2 linked regions of the Neurospora crassa OR74A genome follow. The protein of the gene in region 1 purifies or fractionates together with the protein of each later gene. This does not show direct contact. Links are inferred from orthologs where the notes say so. Each region holds a gene or a part of one and is shown on either strand. Other genes may lie near its edges. The genes, in order: NCU00621 and NCU05608.

The links.
Region 2: the proteins of NCU00621 (region 1) and NCU05608 purify together in Schizosaccharomyces pombe (affinity purification with western blotting; 5 studies listed by BioGRID, with this or other methods). This does not show direct contact. The link is inferred for Neurospora crassa OR74A from reciprocal best matches to the Schizosaccharomyces pombe genes mip1 and tor2.

Annotation. Positions count from the first base shown.
Region 1 is NC_026501.1:7,805,677-7,810,007, reverse strand, and holds the start of NCU00621 (TORC1 growth control complex subunit Kog1), read right to left. Parts: upstream 2,929-4,331; 5' UTR 2,211-2,928; coding exon 1,623-2,210; intron 1,565-1,622; coding exon 1-1,564. UniProt on the Schizosaccharomyces pombe protein: Component of TORC1, which regulates multiple cellular processes to control cell growth in response to environmental signals. Tor2 is essential for growth. Nutrient limitation and environmental stress signals cause inactivation of TORC1.
Region 2 is NC_026506.1:1,344,448-1,348,158, reverse strand, and holds part of NCU05608 (phosphatidylinositol 3-kinase tor2), read left to right. Parts: coding exon 1-790; intron 791-991; coding exon 992-2,230; intron 2,231-2,288; coding exon 2,289-3,711.

The sequences.
Region 1 (4,331 bases):
AAGCACACATCGCCTTGTGCTCATCCAAGAACCCGACGCTAACCATGGAGAGGGTATCTTGCGGCTTCATTATGGCCGCGAAGTAATTGTACCCGCTATCTTTGATGAGGTCTTGCTGGCATGAGATATCGACCGCAAGAACGCGAGTCCAGATGAACACCATGACTGGCTTTAGGTCTTGTGCCGCCGACTGGAGGAGCTTCAAGACGTACGGGAAGATGCCAATGCTGAGCGCCAGTTGTACTGCCCAAGGGCCAAGGTCCAAGAACCTTGCTAGTAGGACCAGAGCTCGTACTCGATGCTGCTGACTTAGCAACACTTGCAGAACCACTGGAAGCTGGTCAGGTGGCTTCTGGGACAAAGCATCCCCTCGAGTCAAGTAGATCTCGAATGCTGTGAGCTGCTCCGCGAAGAATGACGAGTTGATGTACTCATACTCTATCCCTTCACTCTCCTTTCTCTCGAGGGCCGGCAACTGGGCAAGAGCCAGATCGACGGCCAAGTCCCAGCTCTCCCAAAGGGGATGCTGACGTGTATCTGGCAACTCTGGATACGACTGGGGATGGCAGTTGTACACAGGCATGATACGCTGTGCGAGGAGAAAGTTTCGGAAAAGAGCGGCAACCATCAAATCTTGCCTAAAAAATTTGCGGAAGAGATGGCGTGGTAGCGTGGTCCATGCAATGGTATCTGTGATGGCAGTGAAAATCCAGTTGAGCTCTCCGAGAGGCGTCCGGCGCTCCTGAAGCCGCCCTGGCAGCTTCTTGGCTCGCTCAGGAGATATTTTGGTTTTTAGCGGATTTTGCAGACAGAAGAACCAGAGTGCCATCTCTATAGGGGTAGTCAAGCAGCAAGTGAAGAGATCAGCAGGCAGGTCGGGGTTGGTTGGCAGATTCTCCTTGACGTTGCAGGCTGCCAGATGGATGTAGGGACGGAAGTTAATCTTTTCGTGGTTTGGGTCCCGTTGTGCCGCCTCCTCTTCTTCTTGCTCGTGCTTCTCAACAAAACGGTGGTAATTGGTGAGGATATTGCCAGCCTCGGAGCAATCCCACACATATATCGTGGGCGCCTGCAACCATTGCTGAAGGTCGTAGAGAGAGACGGGGATATACTGCGTGTAGTTCTTGTTGAAAACCCAGATCTCTCCCGAGGCTGTTGGCTTGGGCACTCCATGCCCATTGTAATGGAAGAGCACACGCTCGTCCTTGGCACTTCTTCGGAGGGAGACACTGAACCGCTTGGTTTCTTCGATGGACGGGTCTAAATACTGCTTGTAGCGCGTCCGAATAGCAAGGGTCTCATATTGAGATTGCAAAGCTTTCCCAATATTCTCCAGTGCCTTGGAAACAGGAGGCACCGTCGGATCTTGCCAAGCTTCAAGCCGGGCACCCGGGGTGGTGCGAAGTTGATCTGGCGGTTCCACTCCTATGTTCAAGCATACTGCTATCGCAGCAGAAACTGTTTTTAGGCGATCGCGCATACGCCAGTCTTGGATCTCGAAAGCGGGTGTCTTTGGCTTCCCTGTTGTCTCATGTCGCTTATCGGTAAAGTACATGTACCAGCTCTGCTCAGCGCACGGTTAGTGACACCCCAGCCAACGGCAGAGACACAAATCAACGTACATTTGCAAGCTGAGAAATGACTTCTTCAGACTGATAATGGTCCTCGAACCCATGCCTGGCACCCCAATCATGGTACTCTTCGTCAACTTGTTCGATGGGGCTTTCCCTCTCCAACCGCAGTCCGTATTCGCTCTTAGACCGCGTTAATGGCGCCTTGGCCGGCCGGGCGACAGGCATATGGTCGTCGTCATCAGATTGCCCGCCATGCAACGTGGTTCCAGGAGATGTTTGGTTATTGTCGTCGGGGGCGCTGGAGGGGCGTCGAAACAAGGGCGCTGGTGAGGAATCGGACATGCGTCTCTGTATGTTGGATCGAAGTGGCAGCTGGTTATGGGCAGCAGGATGAGAGGTCCCGTTTGTCGCGACGCGCTGGTTGCCGTCTTCTGGCCTCTGAGGATGGACTTGTGACATTGTGACTGAACTTTGACGAGCTGGGTTGTTCATTGTGTGGCGGGATGGTGATGTAGCAGTTGATGACGGAAAGCCGGGCCTCGCGTAACGGCCAGAGGTGGGAGTGGGAGCAGAGGGCTGTCTCTGGCCAAATTCTGCGGAGCCGGGGTGGGAGGCGTGAAGAGAAACAGCAGTCATGGTACGCGACTAGACGAGAGCGAAGGTCATGGTCCTCGGAGGGTAGAGTCGGGTTTTCAAGGCCGCGACGAGGCCGGGTAGGCGATGAGTCGAGAACAGAGCAGCGGTGTAACAACTGAAGTCTGTAAAACAGCGAGCGTACGGTGACTTGGAGGTGATGTCGGCGGCCCAGGTAGATGCGCTATATCAGGCGGCACAACCAGAGCTGTATTTCCTGCAGAGGAGGGGACCGATCTGAAGGCTAGGGAAACGCAGAGGTTCGGATGCGCGTGGGGCAAGCGTGCGATTGACCGTCGGCTGTAACGAAGATGATGCGTATCTGACCAAGGTAGCCTGGTGGTAGTAGTTTGGTGGCAGTAGTAGTGCCGTCGTGACTTTCGTTGGATGATGCCGGTCTTTGCGCTGTAGGTTTGAGAGATGGGATTGGGTCAGTCAATCTAGCTAGACTTTTATCAGAGGCAGCTGCGTGCGGGTTATAGACGTAGATTCCCACTGCAGTGGGTGAAATGCGCTTCCGCTTGTGTAACCAGAGCCTACCAATTGTCACTGCCAGCAAATTGCCTGTGTTTCCACTACTTGGTATACCGAGGATATCGCAATAGCAGTTGGTGAGACTTGGGCAATACGAAACTACACGCAACTCCTACTGCTTTGAACTGGCAATGCCGGCCGTGATGATGTCGGCAGAGGGAACCGCTTCCTTGCCTGTGTGTTGTCGTGGTGGGTGCGGGTGGTGGTGGTGGGTTGATGCGGGCCGTGGAGCACAGACGTGTGGATGTGGATGCGCTGCCCATCAGCCATACGCTACTTGGGGGTTTCTGGGTGCCAAGGCTTCCTGTCCAGAGGGGAGGACTGCGGGGAGTGCCCGTTTCTCGGATGCTACACTACACTACTAGTCGTACCTCAAGTATTCAACCTCAAGGTAGAGTGAAAACAGTGAAGGGTGACCTGTACGGTACGTCTGTACCTAGGTACTAGAGGTAGTGTACTAGGTAGGTAGGCAGGCTGAAGGCCTTCTTGGCATCTCCCGCATACAAATAAGCCCAGCGGAGGTATTGTACCGCCCGAACCATCACGGTGTCACCACAGAAGGAGGCACTGAACGCACATGATGATGCAGTCAGTGCACATGGTGGTCCATGCTTTCAGCCTCACCCCCCTCGTTGGTACAAGTACGCTAAGCTGCATTCCTTGCGCCGCAACGTTGCCATTCTCCGTGGGACTTTTCATTCATTATCGATATTGCCCGAGTTAAGAAACGGTTCGTTGACTTGACTCGAGGCCTGCTTCGAGGATCTCACAAATCCATGCGTCGCCTCGGTCTGGATCCGATTCCCGTCGTTAGCCAATCACTTCTACATATACTGACTGTGCAGGACGGATTATCATCAGTTTGTCAAGCTTTGCGAACATGGAAATCTCCTCTCTATTGGCACGTTTTCAACCATCGAGCCATATGCATCAGTTGTCCTATGAGCCCTCTCAACACAAAATCGGCGAAGCTCACTCGACCGCAAGCCACGCTTCCATGGTATTTGCTAGATATCGATAGTCGTGCATGATGTCGCCGGCAGATGCCGAAGCCTTCCTGTTGTTCCTGCTCACCTGCTTGTGTCTTGATATTGACTACTTCGTTCCGTATCCTAGGATGGTTTAACACGATGGGATGGGCTGCAGTGGCATTCACACCTGAATATTCAACATAATCTACCTTGGATTTGTTGGCTGTGGGAAAAAAAGGTTCGAGTTGCATTGATCGTGCTTTTGCATGAACTCCAATTTCAAAAAATATCGGGGGTGGAGCCCCGGCCATTGGGGATCGCTGAGCAAGGGGTCTGTGCGCTTCGGCCCTTTGCCGCGGAGCGGGAACTTCACGTGAAAACGTCCGGAACGGGAGCCGGCCACCCCGAGGACACCTGCTCCGAACAAGTCCAAACGAGTTTCTGCATTCTGTCACGACATCCGACCAACCCATTCACATCGATACGGACACGGGAAGTCACCTTCTTGGAGATACACATCCTCTGCATCCGTACGTACCGGGTTCAGTGGCATGTCGATGTGTTCTCCGCATCGGCATCAACTCTTCCGGCCCCTAAGCTTGATGGAAGATGCTTGATG
Region 2 (3,711 bases), on another chromosome or scaffold:
TTACGTGCGCGACCCCATTGTCAACCAGACAAGTTACCATGCCCTCCAGGTGGTCGCAGATGTTATTGAGAAGCTCTTGACAGTCGGAGTTTCGGATCCGGATCCCGGCATCAGACGCACTGTTCTGGCCGCCCTCGACGAGCGCTTCGATCAGCACCTAGCCAAAGCTGAGAATATCCGGACCTTGTTTTTCGCCCTCCACGACGAACAATTCGCCATCAGAGAAGTTGCGGTTTCGATCATCGGACGTCTGGCTCGTTACAACCCGGCCTACGTCATTCCACAGTTGCGTAAGACCATTATTCAGATGCTAACGGAACTGGAATACACGGATGTGGCCAGGAGTAAAGAGGAGAGTTCCAAGTTGCTCAGTCTGCTTACGCAGCATGCCCAGGACTTGGTCAAGCCCTACGTGAACTCCATAACCGAGGTTCTCTTACCAAAAGCGCGTGATCCCACGCCTTCTGTGGCTGCAACTGTCCTTCAGGCGATTGGCGAGTTGTGCACGGTCGGCGGTGAATCGATGCTTGCTTACAAGGATACGTTGATGCCCATTATCATTGATGCCCTACAAGATCAGAGTGCTCCTATCAAGCGGGAAGCTGCTCTCCACACACTCGGTCAACTTGCTAGCAACGCTGGCTATGTCATCAAACCCTATCTCGAATATCCCCAACTTCTGGAGATTCTCCAGTCAATCATCCGCGGAGAGCCCCAACACGGCACATTGCGACAGGAGACCATCAAACTTATGGGCATCCTAGGCGCTCTGGACCCTTACAAACATCAGGTATAGGATACCCTGAGGTCAATTCCAGACGAAATCAAGCACCTTCGGCATTTGACCGATCACCTATATGAAATGCTCCAGGCTAGTCCTGCAAAGGACAGTATGGCCAGCCAAGTGGCCAATGTCGCGAGTGCGAGGAGCGGAAACCCCTCAAACAAGACCCCCGATTCCCTCAAAACCGCGTTGACTAACTTGATGCAGGTCGAAGAAAGGACTGATGACAACAAGCGGAACAATGAAGCCGCCCAACTGACTGATGTCTCTCTGATGATGGGTGGCCTAACACCATCTAATGAAGACTACTATCCGACCGTGGTGATCAACGCACTGCTTCAGATCCTGAAGGATCAGTCTTTAGTCCAGTGGCACGGAAACGTTGTCGATGCCATCATGAGCATTTTCATCACTCTGGGACTGAAGTGTGTACAGTTCCTTGATCGTGTGGTCCCCGCCTTCATATCAGTCATCCGTGCGTCGAGCAACGCCCGGCTTGAGTTCTACTTCAATCACTTGAGCAGGCTGGTCAGTATCGTTCGCCAACACATCCGAGTTTATCTCAAGGACATCATCGATGTTCTTCAGGAGTACTGGCACACAACTCTCGCGCTTCAGAGCACTATCCTGGGGCTGATAGAGTCAATCTCGCGGTCTCTTGAGGGCGAGTTCAAGATTTACCTCGCCAAGTTACTCCCACTTATGCTAGGCGTGCTCGAGAAGGATGTTAGCACGAAGCGGCAACCTAGCGAGAAAGTGTTCCACGCGTTCCTGGTATTTGGCTCAAGCGCCGAAGAGTACATGCATTTGATAATCCCAGTTATTGTACGCCTCTTCGACAGTCACAGCCAGCCATTGTTCCTTCGGAAATCGGCTATCGAGACGATCGGCAAGCTTTCGAGCATGGTGAACTTGAACGACTACGCGTCAAAGATCATCCATCCTCTGACTCGTGTGTTGGCTAGTGGCGAGCCGAGTCTTCGGGTAGCGGCTTTGGACACACTTTGCGCCCTTATGCTGCAACTAGGACGCGACTACTTGCATTTCGAGCACACAGTCGACAAGGCGATCTCCATGTATGCCATCCAGCACTCGAATTACGAAAAGGCCATCGAGAAGCTAAAGAAGGGCGAGGCCCTCCCACAAAATCTCGCTCCTCGGTTTGAAGACATCTCCATGGAGGGCTTTGCTGCCGAAAACAACCCGCCCAAGAAGTTGACCCTGAATCCGGTGCATCTCAAGCAAGTGTGGGAAACAAAGGGCAAGTCCACCAAGGACGATTGGCATGAGTGGTTCAGGAAGTTTAGCACAACTCTTCTTACCGAGTCGCCGAACCATTCCTTGCGTGCTTGTGCCAGCTTGGCCAGCAACTACCAGCCTCTTGCGCGTGAGCTCTTCAACTCGGCCTTCGTGTCCTGCTGGAGCGAGCTTTATGAACAGTTCCAGGTATGTCAGCGCGGTATTTAGAATGATCCGAGCCGGATACTAACAGCTTGTTTAACAGGAGGACTTGATCACCAACATTGAGAATACGATCAAATCGGAGAACGTGCCACCGGATCTCCTTGGCCAGCTCCTCAACCTTGCCGAGTTCATGGAGCACGATGATAAGGCGCTGCCTATTGACATAAGAGTATTGGGACGTGAGGCCGCACGTTGCCACGCATACGCAAAGGCTCTTCACTATAAAGAGCTCGAGTTTTTGCAGGACCATAATAGTGGTGCAGTGGAGGCTTTGATTGTCATCAACAACCAGCTTCAGCAATCCGATGCTGCCATCGGTATTCTTCGTAAAGTCAAGACCTACAGGGAGGGTATCCAGTTGCGCGAGAGTTGGTTCGAGAAGCTCGAGCGTTGGGACGAGGCCCTCAACTTCTACTGCCAACGTGAGCGCGAAATTCCCGAAGACCAGCCTGTTCCCGTCGACATTGTGATGGGCAAGATGCGTTGTTATCACGCTCTTGGCGAGTGGGATTCTCTGGCTACGCTTGCTGGAAAGACCTGGGCCAATTCGGCCCCTGAAATTCAGAGACGCATTGCTCCATTGGCCACAACCGCTGCCTGGGGTCTCGGCAAATGGGACTCGATGGACAGCTACCTTCAGTCAATGAAGCGCTTCTCCCCAGATAGAGCTTTCTTCGGTGCGATTCTGGCCCTTCACCGCAATCAGTTCAGGGAGGCTATGGCATGCATCGAGCAAGCTCGCGAAGGACTGGATACCGAGCTTAGTGCGCTTGTTAGCGAGTCTTACAACCGGGCTTATCAGGTTGTAGTACGCGTCCAGATGCTCGCGGAGCTGGAAGAGCTCATTGTCTACAAGCAATGCGACGGAGAGAAGCAGGCTACCATGCGCAGAACCTGGGAGACTCGTCTCAAGGGCTGCCAGCGCAATGTCGAGGTATGGCAACGCATGCTGCGTTTGAGATCGCTTGTCATGACTCCGCAGGAGAACATGCATATGTGGACCAAGTTTGCCAACCTTTGTCGCAAGTCGGGCCGCATGGGACTCGCCGAAAAGTCACTCAAGCAGCTTATTGGAACCGACTCGCCATTGGACTCTGTCATTCCCTACTGGCACGATCGCCATCCGGGCTCGGTCGGCAACAGAATCGCGTCTCCGATCTTGTATGCGGTTCTGAAGTTCCAGTGGGAGATTGGACAGTCACCAGGATTCCGCAATTCGGAGCACAGGGTTGCCGAGAAGACGCTGTACTGCCTGCAGAGGTTCACGCAGGAGACTGCGCACCGCGTTGAAACCTCGCGTATGCACATGGCTGCCCATGCACAGAACGGCATGGAGGTGCAAAACCAGCCAGGGTTTGCCGAGTTCAATGAAGAGATGATGCATCCACAGGCACAGAAACACTGGCTTGAGCAGACTGTCTTGCTGGCCAAGTGCTATCTACGCCAGGGTGAGTGGATGGTCT